Linked DNA regions of Arabidopsis thaliana. The protein of the gene in region 3 interacts with the protein of the main gene of each other region in a pairwise test. Each region holds a gene or a part of one and is shown on either strand. Other genes may lie near its edges.

Region 1 (4,955 bases), on a different chromosome or scaffold from region 3:
GTACAAAAACTTTTTTAAACACCTTTAGTTACCTCTTTAAATGTACATCAAAATGATTATCATCTCATGCTTCTACTTTTTTTGGTGTGAGTGTCAAATTCATTTTGAATATATGAGAGAACATAAATTAACCCAAGTAAAAAATTGTAAGACCAAATCATTGAGCACACGAATAGTAGTTCTTTACAATTGGAAAAAAAAAAGAACAAAGTAGAATTGCTCCGGCCATATTGAAGTTATGATCAGATTTATAAATAAGTTGATGTATACTCACAGTAGGAGGCTTTAAATCAAAACCAAAACGTAAATGGAAAAGCTTGAAACTTTGGAACCAGACAGAACACAGACAGGTGTTAGAATTTATCGACTCGGAGACCATTTCTTTGAACCTCATAAGCATCTCTGCTTCTGCTCTTCTTCATTCCTGCAGTGAAATAGACCTTTGATGCATCTGTAGATATGCTTGTCACTTTTACCCATATCATTACTTTTGTCTTGATTCCTTCCACATCTGTTAGCTTTCCTTTCTCAAGATGTCCTGTTACTGTTGTTGTGAACTTCAACACTGATGAATCCTTGTATCCAACTTCGCATATCGATGGGATCAAAACGGTTAGTTTCTTTGTCTCTTCATCGAACTCGTAGTTTGTAGCATCTCCCGGGAAGATTCCAATCGGCAAATCATATTCTTTTAGTAACTCAGGCAACGGCTTCTGCATTTTCCCTGTCAACATGATGACAAATGGGGAATTTCAAAAAAACAAAAAATTGAAAGATGCAGTCAGAAGAAGAATAAAAAAAAGCAAACCTTTGATTTTGTTGACCAACCATTTTGTTCCTCCTTCAATGCTCGTTGACACCGACTGGCATAAACAAAAACATTGTTTTATATGTTAGAAAAGATCACAGTTTCAAACAAAATAATCTAACCACATGAGCAAGAAGAGAAGACATTATAGGATCATATATTTGAATCATTTCTTAAGATATCATGGTTTTGGTAATTAGATGTTCTTCCTTATGTGACGTGATTTACCTAACAATGAACTCAAAACATTCGTACAACTGCATGATACCAAAATTACGATAAAGGTGGTTGATTATATCGGAACCACGTCAATAGATCAAAATCGATTAGGAAAACAGATGAATCAGATTCTATAGGATGGGTCAAAAAAAGACGTACGTTGAGATCGTTGCCGACGGAGTCAAACTGCTTGTTAGCCTTTTGGCCTAACCAGTAGGATCCAACCTTGTTGAAGATCTGATCCATATTCTCTCGAGAAAGGATAGAGAAGATTTTGAGAAAACGAAGGACGACTTTCTTTCTTTTTCTTCCGGGAAAGAATTTTGGGAACCCACCACTCTCGCACCGTTGGATTCGTTATTTGTGCACTATTCCTGCAGCCAATTAACTTATGACATGTGGCAAATACATAAACACCAATATATTTATTGAAGCAAGCAGGCAGCATTATACTGTACAAATTACAAAAAAAAGTACTTGCCTATCACTCCTCCTTGGGACTGACTATCTATCTATTGGGCCTTCAATGAAAATCAGATTAAATAGGTGCAACACAACTTGGGAACTGAAGAACCACATGGCACAAAACAGAGTAAAATTAAAGACTACAATCAATCCTTTTTTTTTGCCATTCCTCCCATGATTTTACTTGTCTATTAGACGAACCTCAGCTAAATTTGTAATTACAGTCGAAAATATTATTAAGCTCTTTAACACTTTTATAGCCTACCCTTGTCTTTGTGCATTCCAGAGTAATACGAATCGATTCAAATCAAGCCAATAAAATAAAACCAAGCCTAACTACACTTTATTTAATGCTTAATTTTTGTCCTTGCCAACATTACAACTTTTTAGAAAAACCATTTGATATGATTTTTTAACTTGGGCCGTGACATTACTAATGAGGCCCACAATGTACTTACTCCGACGTGTAATTGTCTCCGATAAAGACAAGGAACCATTTGGAACCTCTCACGCGCTTTAGCTGGAAATTACGTGGAGTTGAGCTACTCGCGACTCTATCCTATGTATAATTGTATATCAGTTTTCCGTCTCCATCAAATATCCTAGAGAGCCACGAATTTTTCCTTCTTTGTTGTAAATTATGAATATTAGGCCACATAATACGGAAAGTCTTAAAGGGTTTGGACCATTCTCAATCTTATGTTCTAGTAGCTTGATGATTTTTTATAAAAACAATATGGAAATACTTTTATCTCTATCCGATTTCCTATGTCAATATGTGTCACAGGATTTTACACGTCTAACTTATGTTGGAAACGCTATCATCTTTTCTTTTTTTTTTTTTATAGTAAACAATTGTATTTGTTATCATCTACAACTCTAAAAAATACATTTCGAAAAATAGGAGAGAGCGAGTAGGAAATAAGAAAGTGGCAACGCGAGAGTAGGAACCGGAAATGGTAAAAAGATTCTGAGGATAAAAGAGAAAGCAGAGAAACAGACAAACTTTATTTGGAGAGATGTTAACGTGGATCGAATATCCTCACGTTCACACTATCCCATTGGATGTAGCACGAGGCCGCCACACGCCCCTACATCTGGCTTTCATATCCACCCTCCACGTGGATCTCAATCCAACGGTGACCACACGCCTTTTCCCTCTTATATAAACCCTTCCTCCTTCCTCTTTCTTATCATCATCACCATCTCTTACAACAAATCTCAGGCGGCTCAACACTATCCTCTTCTACATTTTCCAACGATGGCCTCAAACGCACTCTCGTCTTTCACCGCCGCTAATCCCGCTCTGTCTCCTAAGCCACTACTCCCTCACGGCTCTGCTTCTCCGTCGGTTTCTCTCGGCTTCTCCAGGAAAGTTGGCGGCGGCAGAGCAGTGGTCGTTGCAGCGGCTACGGTGGACACAAACAACATGCCGATGACCGGAGTCGTGTTCCAGCCTTTCGAAGAGGTGAAGAAAGCCGATCTGGCCATTCCAATCACATCTCATGCCTCTCTCGCTCGCCAGAGGTTTGCCGACGCTAGCGAGGCAGTCATTAATGAGCAAATCAAGTAAGCTTCTCTTTTCTTTTCTGTCTAATTAAAGAAACGAAAATGTTTAAAGATTAGATCTAACGGAGGAGGTTGCTTTCTATTTACAGTGTGGAATACAACGTCTCCTATGTGTACCATTCAATGTACGCATACTTTGACAGAGACAACGTTGCTATGAAGGGACTAGCCAAGTAATTATTACCTTCTAACTCTAATCTTAATCTTATTTATAATAATCTTGATCGTATACTTCAAAATGAGATATATATGTCCATACTAAACATGAGTTTTTATAATCACCAGATTTTTCAAGGAATCAAGTGAGGAAGAGAGAGGGCATGCTGAGAAGTTTATGGAGTACCAGGTTTTCTATTTTTACCTTCTTTTCTGTTTTAGAAAAGTTGATAAAGACTTGTGATTCACTTAGTTAATATTCATATTGTTGGTTTGTTGTCTCTATACAGAACCAAAGAGGAGGAAGAGTGAAACTCCACCCTATCGTCTCACCTATCTCAGAATTCGAACATGCTGAAAAAGGAGATGCTTTATATGGTAAAACTTTAAGCAAATACACTATCTTAATCCTAAAATAACAACTTTTCTTTTTTTTTAAAGATACAGATATTTATTAGTTTACTAATCTTTGTTTTCAGCAATGGAGTTGGCTCTGTCTCTAGAGAAACTCACTAATGAGAAGCTTCTAAACGTTCACAAAGTAAGTTCCCTAACTTATCCATTTGATCATCAAAGATTAAACTTATAGTCATTTTCCTAATACTAACTAACACGTACTTTTGGCCAACAAAACAGGTGGCCTCAGAGAACAATGATCCCCAGTTAGCTGATTTCGTTGAGAGTGAATTTCTGGGAGAGCAGGTAAAAGTTCTTTTGCCTTTGTTCGGATTACAACTAGTGACTTGTATAATCTGTACATGTTCTGACTCAGAATATATTATGGACTATTTCTAGATTGAAGCAATCAAGAAGATCTCAGACTACATCACCCAGCTAAGGATGATCGGCAAAGGCCACGGTACGAATCAAAACCCTATATTGAGATAGTGTTCTCAGACTTGAATGGTATTTCTAAAAGCTTATTTACATTTGTTCTGTCTTTGCAGGAGTTTGGCATTTCGACCAGATGCTTCTGAACTAGACTTGGACCTCTATAAGTTCACTTTCAGATGACCAATGTTGGGGTTAAAACAGAAGAACCCGAAGATTCTGTAAAAGCTTTAGATTGAACATTATGGACTAATAAGATTGTAGTAGTAAGCTTTGTGTTCAAGATGGTTTTTGTAATAACTTCGTAAGCTTAATCAATGAAGTTTTTGTTTTAGTATATTCTAACTAGCTATAAACCTACGGCCAAACAATGCGTAACTAAGAAAATAGTGAAAACTCAGACCTATCTAATTAAACATAGAATATTTATGATCCAACTTGAAAGAGTAAGCATAACGAACCTGTTTATGAAGAACATGTAAAAGAAGCATGAAGCGTATGTCACTTTCCACCGAGAAGGACAAGCTGGTCACTGGGATATAACTGAACAGCAAACAAGAACAAGATCACTGTCACATCAAAGCAAAAGAGATGCTCTTACTTTGATTCCATGTTGAACAGTAGAAAATCATTTCTAACCAAACAAAGACCTGTCTGTTCTACAAAGAGCTGACAAATGTACGAAAATGAGTATCCATAAGAAGTTCATGACGTATGAAAACACCATTAAGCTTTTCATGTACAGATTCTCCCTTAGTGATTTATCTTTTCATCATGGTTCTTCAAACCACTAAGCATTAAGTAAAGATTGAGAATCTTATTTGTATAATGACGAAGAAGTCCCTCGCACGGGAACAATCAAGATTGGATACTTGTATGACCCTAACAAGAACACTTATCACAGTAG
Region 2 (4,063 bases), on a different chromosome or scaffold from region 3:
CGGATTCTCAGCTTCCGGCTCAATCTCTTCCTTTTTCTCTTCCCCTTCCCTCTCCTCTTTGCTCCTCTCAATCTTCCTCCGCTTCTGCTCACTCTGAGGAATATTAAAAACCGAAAGACCATCGTTCTTCTTAAACGCCTCAACATCGCCGACGTAGTTCATCCCAGACGGATCCGCCGCGTAACCGCACTTATGAAACGTATGGTACTGCTCTTCAAACCCAAACGATCCAATCGAAGCATCTTCCACAGAACCTAGCTTATGATTCCGCATCCCTTGAGCGATCCCGTCTTTCGCATACGGATGCGCGGGGCCGAACATCGGAGCCCACAGCTGATCATGGGTAGGGTTATAAAAGACGACGTGTTGAGTCGGGTCAATCGGCTTCGATTTCGATTGATTCACGTTAGCCACCGTGAGAGCTAGTGCCGTATCGTCTACCTCCGGCGCCGATGATTTCGCCTTTAACATACGAGGCGGTGAAGATTCCGGCGAGGAAGCAACGGCTTCGTCTTCTTCTTCGTAGGATTGAATCAGATCCATCTCTCACGATTTTGCTCTCTTACCACAAGTGTTTGAGAAACTTTATACTGAGATTTTGCCTCTTTTCTCTTCGACAAGGGTTTCAAAATTCCTAAATCTAAAATAAGGGTTGCAATTTGTGCGATATTTAGATTTTCAAATATAGCCTCTTACTATTTTTTTCTTTTCACATTTACCCCAATAGTGTATTTTATTGACATTTACATCCCACTGTCTTACTCGGTGGTTAAAATTATGCAAATCTGGACCAATCTAAAATCACGCCAAGCCAAACTGAATTAAACCGGGATGAATAAAAACGAAACGACAACGTTTTAAGGTTTCTTATGTTGACGGTCAACATATTTATCATAATCGAACTCAAAAGCAATTACTCATCTCATATTTAAAGAACTAACACATGTGTGAAAAAACACACTAGCGTTAGCGTAGACTTATCATTTGGGATTTCATGCTTCAAAATATATATATCCATAGATGATTTTCCGTACTCTCTCTTCTATCCTTGATGGATCAATGCCAATCCGACTAATGATAGCCTGCAAATATATGTAATAAAAATTTATACGAAAGACATGACACATGCATATACGTGTGTATTATACAAACATATGCGTGTGGATGTGGTACCTGGGCTATGATTGTGTAAGTGGTCCTATCATTCAAGTTCTGAAGATTAGCACTCATTACTTGAGCTCCTTCTTCTTCAAAAATACTCACAAGCTCGTGTAACATTACTCTTTTCATGTTTAGATCCATGATCAGATTCATTTCTATGGTCGAATCCCGCGAACGAATACTGAGTTTGGGTAGAAGAAACGACCCTTCGTAGAGATTCCCGAGTTCTCCTTGTAACAATGTCCTTTTCTTCTCTTTCAAATAATTTACATTCTCTTTCAATTGGATCATGTATGATGTCGCTTGATCTATAAGGTGAGGCACTGGTAACTGTTTAGATCCCAAAAAAAACCCCAAGATAATTACTTTCATTAATCTTTTACATGAATGTGGTTATATTCAATATATATAAATAAACCGTAAAAACCCTAGCTACGTGAATCATTTATTTGTCAATTAGACACCGTACTTAAAAGAGAGCTAATATGGACGGTCATAGAGGGACAACTGCCTATTCAATTAATCAAAATATTATCTCTTTAGAATAAAACGTACATCTTACAGTAATTATGTAGATAATGTTTGTATTGTTGTATATACGCATAAAACACATCTACAATTTAATATAAGATATATATAGAGAGAGAAAGAGAGAGAGGGAGAGTTAGAGAGAAAAAACGGACCTTGCGAGTGGGAGAAACATGAGAAGAAAGTATAGAGAAGAGATGTTTCATGCGCATCCTTCGATCCTTCTCTCTGAGGTTTCGTTGTTCCCTTAACGACGATGAGTTTCCTTCTCCTATTTCTCTTGCTCTCCCCATTCTTTTTGTTTTCTTTTAAGCTTTTATGTACAAGTTTCTCTTTTCAAATCCATCTCTCTTTATATACAGTTAAAGAGATAGAGAGGGCCGGGAGATACAGAGTCACAAATCTCAACTTTGAGAGAAAGAGCTACGTGATTTAGATGAAAGGGATGTTTTGGAAGAAAGTCATGGCTTTTGTGATTGCGTCCGTGAGCTTACACACTAAATTAATAAGATGCATGCATCTTTCCTACCAAGTAAATTTTACTATTTACTTCGGAATTTCCACGTTCTTAAAGATACAAAAGTTTCAAAACAATTAGATATGTTGTTTATCATTAAAAAAAAAATTAGATTTGTTGGTGGGTTGACACATTACTAGGACGCATCATAATTTCGATGTAAGATTTCTAACGTTCAAAGACATAGTTTAGATAGCATCATGCTTACCGTGTGAGATGAGATTCCTAACGTTCAGAGATATGATTCTTCTTCTTTCAGATTACTAACCATGAGTTTAAGTCCTGTGATTTACAGTAGGTTTGGAGAAAATTATTATCAAAAATCATTTCAATGGCGTAAAATAGTCAACAGCCACGGTAGACAAAAATGAATTCCTTACAACAGTACTATATATGTTTCTATCAACAAATAGAAAAGGAAAATTGTTTTGTATACTGATAGAATCGGGACCACTAAATCAAATAGTATCATCATGTTCAATTAATTTGGTGCACGTATTCATTATCCGAGGAAAGTATCATAAGGCGCCATAACCTAAGATTATTCAACAAGCTATCATTATCATAGAAGAAAAGGACACAACACATTCGGCATTCCTTACATAAATTATTAAAGGCCCTCAACTCTCTTTGGCCGTATGGCCGACATCGTTCACCGGATAGGGGATCTACATGGACCGATCGTCTAAACGTTCACCGGAGGTGAATACAAAGACAGAAAATTAAACATGCCTAGTTTTGTTGAGTCTTGGAGTACTCCAGGTAGATGTTGGTCATAACTTTGCCACTGAGCAAACTGACATAAAAAGTAAAAGGAGCCGCAATATGATACTAACACTGTGTATATATCGTCTCGCTGCTTGACCACTTGCTTAGAAACTGAGTAAGGGACAATTATATCCTTATTGCATTTTCCACATGTTATTCTTTTTTTCCTTCTTCAAATATTTGAATTCGTACAAGAAGAGAATAGTCATTTGGTAACTATCATAATTCATAGCCATTGAAAATCCGTGACTAGAAATACAGATTAGCCCAATTTTAAAATGTTAAGCCTATAATTACTTGTAACTAATTCTGTGGCTAGAAAAGGATGATTACTTATAGTTAGAAAATTTGTAGCGAAATTTTTGTTATCGATCTATATATACTGTCCAATTTATATAAGACATTTAGAAAAAAAGATTTGTTTACTAGTTATGTCGTGTATATATACATGTTTTTTAAGTTTTAGTTAACTATATTCACATACAAAATCTAACCATGTGTGATTTTAGGAGAAAACAAAGATGAATGTCCTTGCTATCGCAATATGAAAAACTCCAAAAGTGGATCCAAATGCCTATGCCCTTGAACATGTTTTGAAGATAGTCATCAGATGCATAACATCTATCTATTCTATGTATGCAAATATCAATTACGACTATTTTAGACGGCGCCTGTAATAAAATATTTGAGCTTAAAATGCTCAATGAAAGAAAATTTGAGAGTTCTTGACAATAAAAGTAGATAATATATTTTATATTTAAACATGAGATTCTATAAACGTAATAGAGATTAGGCATAGAAAGAAAAGAGAAAATAAAGAGATTTTGAAGATGATGTGAGAGGCTTTTTCGTTCATATACTTGAGGAAATGGTATTCAGACATTTGATCATTCTCTTTAACTTAAACAACAATAGGGCTATTACACCAATTCACTCTTAAAAATACTCATAATCTCATGTTTAAAGAACTAACACATTTAATTTGTTAAGAAAAGACTTGTGATTTGGGATTCAATAATGCTTCAAAAAATTAATCATGAGATTATATCCCTTAATCTCTCTTCTATCCTTGATGGATCAATCCCGATC
Region 3 (3,543 bases):
AGGTGTAATGAAAGCTAATGAAATCTTCTACAGCAAATCACCCGAAACTGTAAGTTAACAACAAACAACGTATGGAAACTATGTATAGAACTATCGTGTCACTCTATTCTTACCGGAATATAATATTATGCAGGTTGCATTAATGGCTTCCATTAAAAAGTTGCTGGACCCAAAGGGAATTCTCAACCCTTACAAAGTTCTTCCTCACTCTCTCTTCTCCAACTAAGGTAAAAGATTATTATGCTTTATGATTACGCACCGAAATTATTGAAAGCATCTATCTTTCTATCTATGAATGCTCTTCCAACGTCAAAAGTGAAGAATCATCATCTTTTACTTTGGAATCATTGACATTCTTTTTTCGGCGAATGCAAGGGTGGTGATGAGATGATTCTTCAAACAGGAATTTGGAACATGAGCAGCCAAGTTTGAGCGATATGATTGATGCAAAGGAACAAAAATACAAGTGCTGATTAAAAAGTCTTTAAACTCAAAAGTGTATATGCTTCGCTTCTTCTTCTTTGTTGTTGTTGTTGTTGTTACCTTGTTTTAATATCTTTTTAGTAAAGGATAAGAAAGAATCTAAACCTATTGATCTTACGTGTATTTAAAGTTAAAATTTGCAGTGTATGTAGACCAAAACTCGAAAAGATAATCTATAATAATAGTATTTTCAAGAATCTTCACATAATATCTTTCTATTCTTGGAATTTCTGTTGTAATGGATTTTCTTATTTTGTTCACAAAAAGACTTTATTTTTATTTTTCCCCATAGTTCTGTTTTTACTTCATGTATTACCTTTCTTTAATGTCTTACTAGGAGAAACCAGATCGGTCAGATAAACCGGAATAATATCTGGTCCGATTGATTTGTATAAGTCTAACTAACTTCTCTAATTTAAGAGATAAGCTATAGATTTTAACATATTTGTTCTAAGTTCTACCAAGTATATATTCTTCTGAGACCTAAGTTGGACCTAACTAGATAGGAATATAAGATCCGTATTACCATAGTTCATAGACCATAGTTTCCATGGAACAAATGTGTACAAGTTTTGGTTTAAGGTGAAGCCAATGCATACAACAACATCATGCATCATAATTGTAATTATGACTAGTCAGTTTTGATATATAATCAAGTTGCTTACAACTTTTGTAACCATCGATCCATTCAAAATAATCAGAAGGACAAGGGCAATAAGACAATGAAAGCAATATATCATCGCTAAAAATCCAAGGCATCGTTGAATGATGGATCCATAAACCGGAAATAAATTAAAATAATGTTACAAGCCAACTTTTACCTGATGCATGTATCAATTCTTATTTTTGGTTAATATCAATAATATGCATGCATCAGTTTGGTTATCCTAAAATTTACATAACTCAGATATTCATAATGGTATGAGATTTTTAATTTAAGAAATTTGGTTTTCCGAAATAGATATTGGAATGTTTTATGATAATATTCCTAACTGGTTTGATCATGATCGCGAGAGTAGCAAAAGCGTGTAAGATTCGCTTCTCCAACACAAGTGGAAAGTCCCGGATTAAAGAGAGCCGACACAATAAAAACGACGTCGGATTGATGACTGGACATAGACCCAAACGCTTTAGACACATTGCAAAGATGATAAGACACTATAAAAAGCTCACTGGATATGGCTAAGGAGACAAAACACACACAATCTCTCTCTCTCACACTCACTGTAATAAACACAAATGACGAGTTCTTCTGAATCAACTCGCAAGGTTGGTTAATTGTTTCTTTAACTAAATATAACAGTACCTTTTTGGTTATAATTCCATTGTTGTCTTTGGTTTGATCATCTCTCTCTTGTTCTTACTATGTTAGGGTCTGACCAAAATCGCCACGAACCGGTTGCAGAAAGAGTTCATGGAGTGGCAAACCAATCCTCCTTCTGGTTTCAAGCACAGAGTCTCTGATAATCTCCAACGGTACATAATCATTTTATTGTCTTTCCTTCGAATATTGATAATCGGTGATGTAATGTTGAATTGTTGGTGTAAACAGATGGATCATTGAAGTGCATGGAGTTCCAGGAACTCTTTACGCCAATGAAACTTACCAACTTCAAGTTGAGTTCCCTGAGCATTATCCTATGGAAGCTCCACAGGTTCGTCCTCTAACTCCTTTTGTTAATACTTAACGATACTTAATCATCGCATCAATCTCATAACCCGATGGTTCCACATATAAAACAGGTTATCTTTCAGCATCCAGCTCCACTTCATCCTCATATTTACAGCAACGGTCACATTTGTTTAGGTAAGTACATACAAACACAATGACTCACTCTGTTTCAAAGTCCAATGACAAGACCCTTCTATGTGTTCTTTTGATTATGCAGATGTCTTGTATGATTCGTGGTCACCGGCGATGAGACTAAGTTCCATCTGTCTCAGCATTCTCTCAATGCTCTCCAGCTCATCCGTGAAGGTTTGTGTGTTTTATCTTCTTCTCATATTTCAAAGGCTTTCACAGAATAATCTTCTTCTTATGATGTTTATTGTTCTCTCCTTACAGCAAAAGCCGAAAGACAATGACCATTACTTGAAAAACTGCAAACATGGAAGATCTCCCAAAGAAACTAGGTGGCGTTTCCATGACGATAAAGTATAACATCTCCTATAATATTGTGATTACAAACGAATTGTAAGATCTCAGGTCGAGTTCTTGATCTGTTGCTATCTTTAAAACAAGAACAGCTTCTTTCTACAGTTTAACCATACGAAAAGCTTGAGCATAAAACTTGAAAATTTGGAAATAACATGATTCATTATTATATGAAAGAAATCATCAACTGTTAGTACAAACCAAGAACTGAGAGAATGATTGATCCAAAGAAGAGAGAACTTTGCTTCTAACAAGCCTTCGTGTATATTTGATAGAAGACAAAAATCTGTTTCTATCTCTAAAGAAAAGAGCTGCTGATGACTTTCCATCACATCTTACATTTGTAATAAACACTAGGAAGGACTACTCAGCAGAAGCTTCATTTGTTCTTGCTCATGCTCCATTTTAATAACACCTGCAATGTCAAAACCTAAAGCTTAAGCATATGAAGCAAACACGAATCATACAGATGCTAGAATACCTACTAAAAGTGTTTATAGACCAAGCAATTTCACATGTTTCCCAATAGACTACAAAAGCTATTCTAATTGCTCTTGCTCTGTACATTTCGACAAGAAACTTCAAAGGCCCTTCATGAAACTCAACGTCAAGCTCAGAACTTTACTCCCCTTACAAAAACAAAGCAAGCAACTTTATGCAATTCCAGAATCAAATTAATGTTCATTTCCAATTCTCAAACCTAATAAGCACTAACAATTCAACACCAAGCTCACACAATCTCAAAGCTTGTTTATTCCCATAATCAAACAAACTAAAGCTAGCTAATCCATCTGCTTAGGAGCAATCGAAAGTATAGAGGTACCTAAAAATGGTCACTCCATAGCAACTTTAGCTCCAACAGCCTTCAACTTCTCAATGATCTTCTCTGCTTCTTCCTTACTAAC
Region 4 (3,916 bases), on a different chromosome or scaffold from region 3:
ACACGCATTATTGTTTATACCGTATAGCAATTCCTCAATGAAGCTAATGTCTATGCATAATGTAGAGTAGCATTTCTAAGTTGTCACTTACTAACAAGATCTCTTGTTAACTGCTATCTAGTTGGTTTTGAAGAAAGATGATAGCTTTGATCTGGTTTTGGTTCATACAAGTGGTGAAAGTTTAGAGGATCTTTAACTTCTCTATAGGATGTTCTTGATTTATATCTACTAGAATGAATCATTGAAACTCTCGGGAGTGAATGAAAATTGAGTGCCTTTATTGTGAATGTTTGTTATTAGTTTAGTGGTACATGTTTTGAGTTTTCTCTTTGTTTAGACATTGATGATTTGTAGTTATCCTCGAGTTCACCTTTCATGTAACCATATAAGCATTGCTCAAACTACTTGACACTAATCTGGTTTTGGGTTTTGCTGCTAGGTCTCACTGAACCTTTGAAGATCATGACGAAAAAAGGATCGTCTCTTGTTTTTTTCTTAATTTTCAGCTTCATATGTCGAAATAAAGAGAACTGTGAAGAAGACGTGAATTGTTTTTGTACACAACTTTGTAAGACTTGCTGCTTCTGTTTTAAGTTACTACTTGTGTGTTGCACTTCCTGATCATGTTGTTATTTTGCTGTCAACAAATTAATTTGAAATAAAACGCATTGCGAGATTCGTGTTTTTAGATCCAGCCTCCAATGATACGAATTACAAAGAAACACTAGAAATTAGTTATATTCGCTGTGTTAAGTATACAAATTAACACTTACGAAACTGAATTTGTTAATGGTTTTTATAACTATATCTGAAAACCAAAAAAAATATGCAAAATCATCAAATTGAAAATGTCTATTCTAGCAACATGAATTGTGAATAAATAAACAAACATCTATAATTCAAATTTTACTTGAATAACAATTTCATTTTGACTCTATTTTTGGTGAAGACAAAAAGTGTGCCTTCAACTTCAAGTCTTTAATCCAAGTAGCCAGTTTAGGAAACGGGTAAAAAAATAAATTATATAGAATAAAAGAATTTGATGTTGCAAACTTGAAAATAAGTTTACAAATCAATCTATTTAATGTTAACTAAACATGTCCGCTTGAAGCAAAACCTAACCGATCCGGACATATCATATATTATCTAGTTGGTGAGAATATTAAGAAGTGAAACTCTCGTCTGAATCAATCGCCGGAAAATAGATTCCAACTCTATTTCAAGCTCCACTACAGTAATCTCCGCCGCCTCCAACCTCGTAGTCGCGCTTTGCACCGCAGTCTCGTCCCATTCATCATCTAACAAATAGGAAGACCGAATGGAAAAGATCGAAGACAAAGACCCTTTGCTCGATCTCTTCTCTAGCCAAGGAATACAACCAAGTGAGAACAAAGACTCAACCATCGTCACAACGACTCTTCTCACTTCCTTCAAAACTTCTGTGACAAACAGAAGGTTCTGTTCTATTGGCATGGCCACTCTTCCTTCGTTTCCTTTCATGTTCTTCAAACAGTTTAAGCATTTCAGTGTCTCCTTCTTGAGCTTGTTCTTATACCGATTATACGCAGCTATCTTCTCGTTGACATCAGATGATTCGTTGCCACGTAGAGTCAGTTGTAGATCTTGCAAGCTGTGTTTCACGAGCGTCATCACATCTTTGGATACGTTACAGATGTCTAACATCCTCAATGAAGCTTCTGAAACTTGTTCCGTCCATTTCTCTTGTCCTTGTTGAGACAGAGATTCTCTTGTTTTCGGACAGTGATGGAGGAGATAGTTTACGCAGTCGTGTAGCTCTCTCAAACCCTCAAAGTTAATCTGAGCCATAGATAGATCTTAATCTATTCGAGATACTTAGCTTTATGAATGTAAAAAAAGAATTTGAAAAGGTATTTTTTGATGTAATTGTGAATGGTTTTTAGGGCTTCTTGAGAGTTTTAAGCGAAGATTAGAGATATATTGAATGTGTGTAAGAATGAGATTATATATAGAGGTTAAGAAGGATCTGAGGGAAAGTACGATGAAGGTTCCCAAGTTTGGGTTTTTGTACGGACGTGGGACATCCGGGGAACAGCTCATTTTGGAGGTATTATCAAAACAATGATTTAAATGATTCAAAACATGTCACAAGGAACCTTCTTTGTACGTAAGAGGCACTCGTGGATTAGGGTACATTGTGGATTCGTTTAGATTTTCAATTTATAATATATAGTTTTAAAGATTTTTATTCTAATATATAGTCTTAAGGTTTAATTATATACTATATACCATGCATGCACGAGCGACGGTGCCAGGCTGTGTTGGTAAATTGCAACAATTTGGAACAGACGGACGAATATTAAATGAGATGAGAAATGTTTAGATTTTGGATCAGACTTTAAATATTATGTTAAGGGTTTGTCAGATATGTTTTATGTATCAAGTTAAATGGATATATTAATTACCAACAAGAAAGTAATATAAGTCTTACAGTAACAGAAAACAAATAATGGTAACTACTTGATCAATATGAATATATGATCAATAATCATTTTAAAACCGGAACTTATCTTTGGCAATACATGCGATTGTGACATTGTGTTACGTGTTAACCTCTCAATATATGTTTCTGGACAAGCGAAATATTCACAGTTTCACACAAATACCAATATACCTTTTCTATAACGTGGACAGTAATAATACGCATACATTAATACATATATGTTTATATGTCTAATTTCTCTATCAATCAGGTAACCACCTCGACGGCTCGACGCATGAATACATCCTGGATTAGATTTTATGTTTAAGATCTTTATATCTCAGGTTATTTTCAACAAATTAATATCTTCCCACAAATTATATAATTAGATTCATATCCCTCCAACTCCAAATGCTGAAATGCTTTCATTTTTATTATGTTGTTAGTGCAGCAATCTTATTATTCGATTTCCCGTTTGGAAGGTATAGCTACTAATTATAACGAATAATCAACCATGCATTATATTTTCTCTGTTGTCATCATCATGTAGAGACATTATTGCGTGATTAAAAAAAGAGAAATAAGAAGACATTATTGCGTGATTATAAAAACACACAGAGAAAATAAGACATTATTGCGTAATTTCTTTAGCTATTTTTTTTGCAAACAACCCATCAAACATAAAATAAAGCCCATGAAACTCAATTAATAAGCCCATTATCTCAAATTCATCCTTACTCTGTTTTGCAACAACTTCTGATAAGAAAACTGATACACTCATCAGTCTCATGATTGTATAACTATAAACTTATGAAATATTCATAGAGTACTGAAGTGATCTGCTGATAATTGTTATCTCGAACTCGTATTCTTGACAAGTAATCGTTTGAATATGATTTAAGAACGCTGCACACAAAGTTTTACAAGTTCTAAAGATCAATATGATCTGAGAGACTTTGCCTAAACTAAAGCCAACAATACTTCACAATGAACAAAATTACATCTATACAATCTCAAAGAGTAAGCATGTTAAGAAAAGAAACTCTTGTCTTCAACAGTTTCTTATACACACACTCCAACTCTTTCTCTGTTTCTTCAATCTCATGTTCTGTTTCTCTCAACTTCTTCAGCTCATCCACATCAACTTCTTGATTCTTCTTATTAAAAATCCTCGACACAATTCCTCTCCTTGATCCTTTCTTTTGATCTCTCTGATCCTTCGTCACTACCTCAATCAACAAAGAAACCAAAACATCAAAGCTGGTCTTTTCAACTCTTTTCATTACATTAATGACATCTCCACAATCTCTCTTCCTCTTCCTCATCTTCTCCTCTGTTTTCTTCAATTGTTTGACGATGGTTCTGCTCAGTGCTCTTCTCTTAAACACGTACGCGTCTGTCTCACGCGCCACGAAAGCTTCTTGATCTTCTCCTGACTTGCTTCTGATCAATCTC

The links.
Region 1: the proteins of UBC17 (region 3) and FER1 interact in a two-hybrid assay, tested with the Arabidopsis thaliana proteins (one large-scale study listed by BioGRID).
Region 2: the proteins of UBC17 (region 3) and AT1G10585 interact in a two-hybrid assay, tested with the Arabidopsis thaliana proteins (one large-scale study listed by BioGRID).
Region 4: the proteins of UBC17 (region 3) and AT1G76210 interact in a two-hybrid assay, tested with the Arabidopsis thaliana proteins (one large-scale study listed by BioGRID).

The regions. Positions count from the first base shown.
Region 1 is NC_003076.8:227,393-232,347, reverse strand, and holds FER1 (ferretin 1), read left to right. Parts: upstream 1-2,296; 5' UTR 2,297-2,753; coding exon 2,754-3,061; exon of another isoform or gene 3,062-3,085; intron 3,086-3,150; coding exon 3,151-3,234; intron 3,235-3,346; coding exon 3,347-3,407; intron 3,408-3,507; coding exon 3,508-3,595; intron 3,596-3,696; coding exon 3,697-3,758; intron 3,759-3,853; coding exon 3,854-3,919; intron 3,920-4,012; coding exon 4,013-4,076; intron 4,077-4,164; coding exon 4,165-4,199; 3' UTR 4,200-4,395; downstream 4,396-4,955. Other genes in the region: AT5G01610 (hypothetical protein (Protein of unknown function, DUF538)), read right to left, coding at 354-724, 809-863, 1,187-1,273.
Region 2 is NC_003070.9:3,493,123-3,497,185, forward strand, and holds AT1G10585 (basic helix-loop-helix (bHLH) DNA-binding superfamily protein), read right to left. Parts: upstream 2,123-4,063; 5' UTR 1,983-2,122; coding exon 1,845-1,982; intron 1,563-1,844; exon of another isoform or gene 1,534-1,562; coding exon of another isoform or gene 1,492-1,533; coding exon 1,174-1,491; intron 1,083-1,173; coding exon 993-1,082; 3' UTR 648-992; downstream 1-647. Other genes in the region: AT1G10580 (Transducin/WD40 repeat-like superfamily protein), read right to left, coding at 1-543; AT1G10586 (basic helix-loop-helix (bHLH) DNA-binding superfamily protein), read right to left, coding at 4,009-4,063.
Region 3 is NC_003075.7:17,200,247-17,203,789, forward strand, and holds UBC17 (ubiquitin-conjugating enzyme 17), read left to right. Parts: upstream 1-1,675; 5' UTR 1,676-1,722; coding exon 1,723-1,752; intron 1,753-1,855; coding exon 1,856-1,959; intron 1,960-2,035; coding exon 2,036-2,138; intron 2,139-2,226; coding exon 2,227-2,290; intron 2,291-2,372; coding exon 2,373-2,461; intron 2,462-2,548; coding exon 2,549-2,644; 3' UTR 2,645-2,742; downstream 2,743-3,543. Other genes in the region: D2HGDH (FAD-linked oxidases family protein), read left to right, coding at 1-49, 134-226; AT4G36420 (Ribosomal protein L12 family protein), read right to left, coding at 3,472-3,543. UniProt on the Arabidopsis thaliana protein: Accepts the ubiquitin from the E1 complex and catalyzes its covalent attachment to other proteins.
Region 4 is NC_003070.9:28,594,056-28,597,971, forward strand, and holds AT1G76210 (DUF241 domain protein, putative (DUF241)), read right to left. Parts: upstream 1,942-3,916; 5' UTR 1,828-1,941; coding exon 1,147-1,827; 3' UTR 895-1,146; downstream 1-894. Other genes in the region: AT1G76220 (hypothetical protein (DUF241)), read right to left, coding at 3,475-3,916.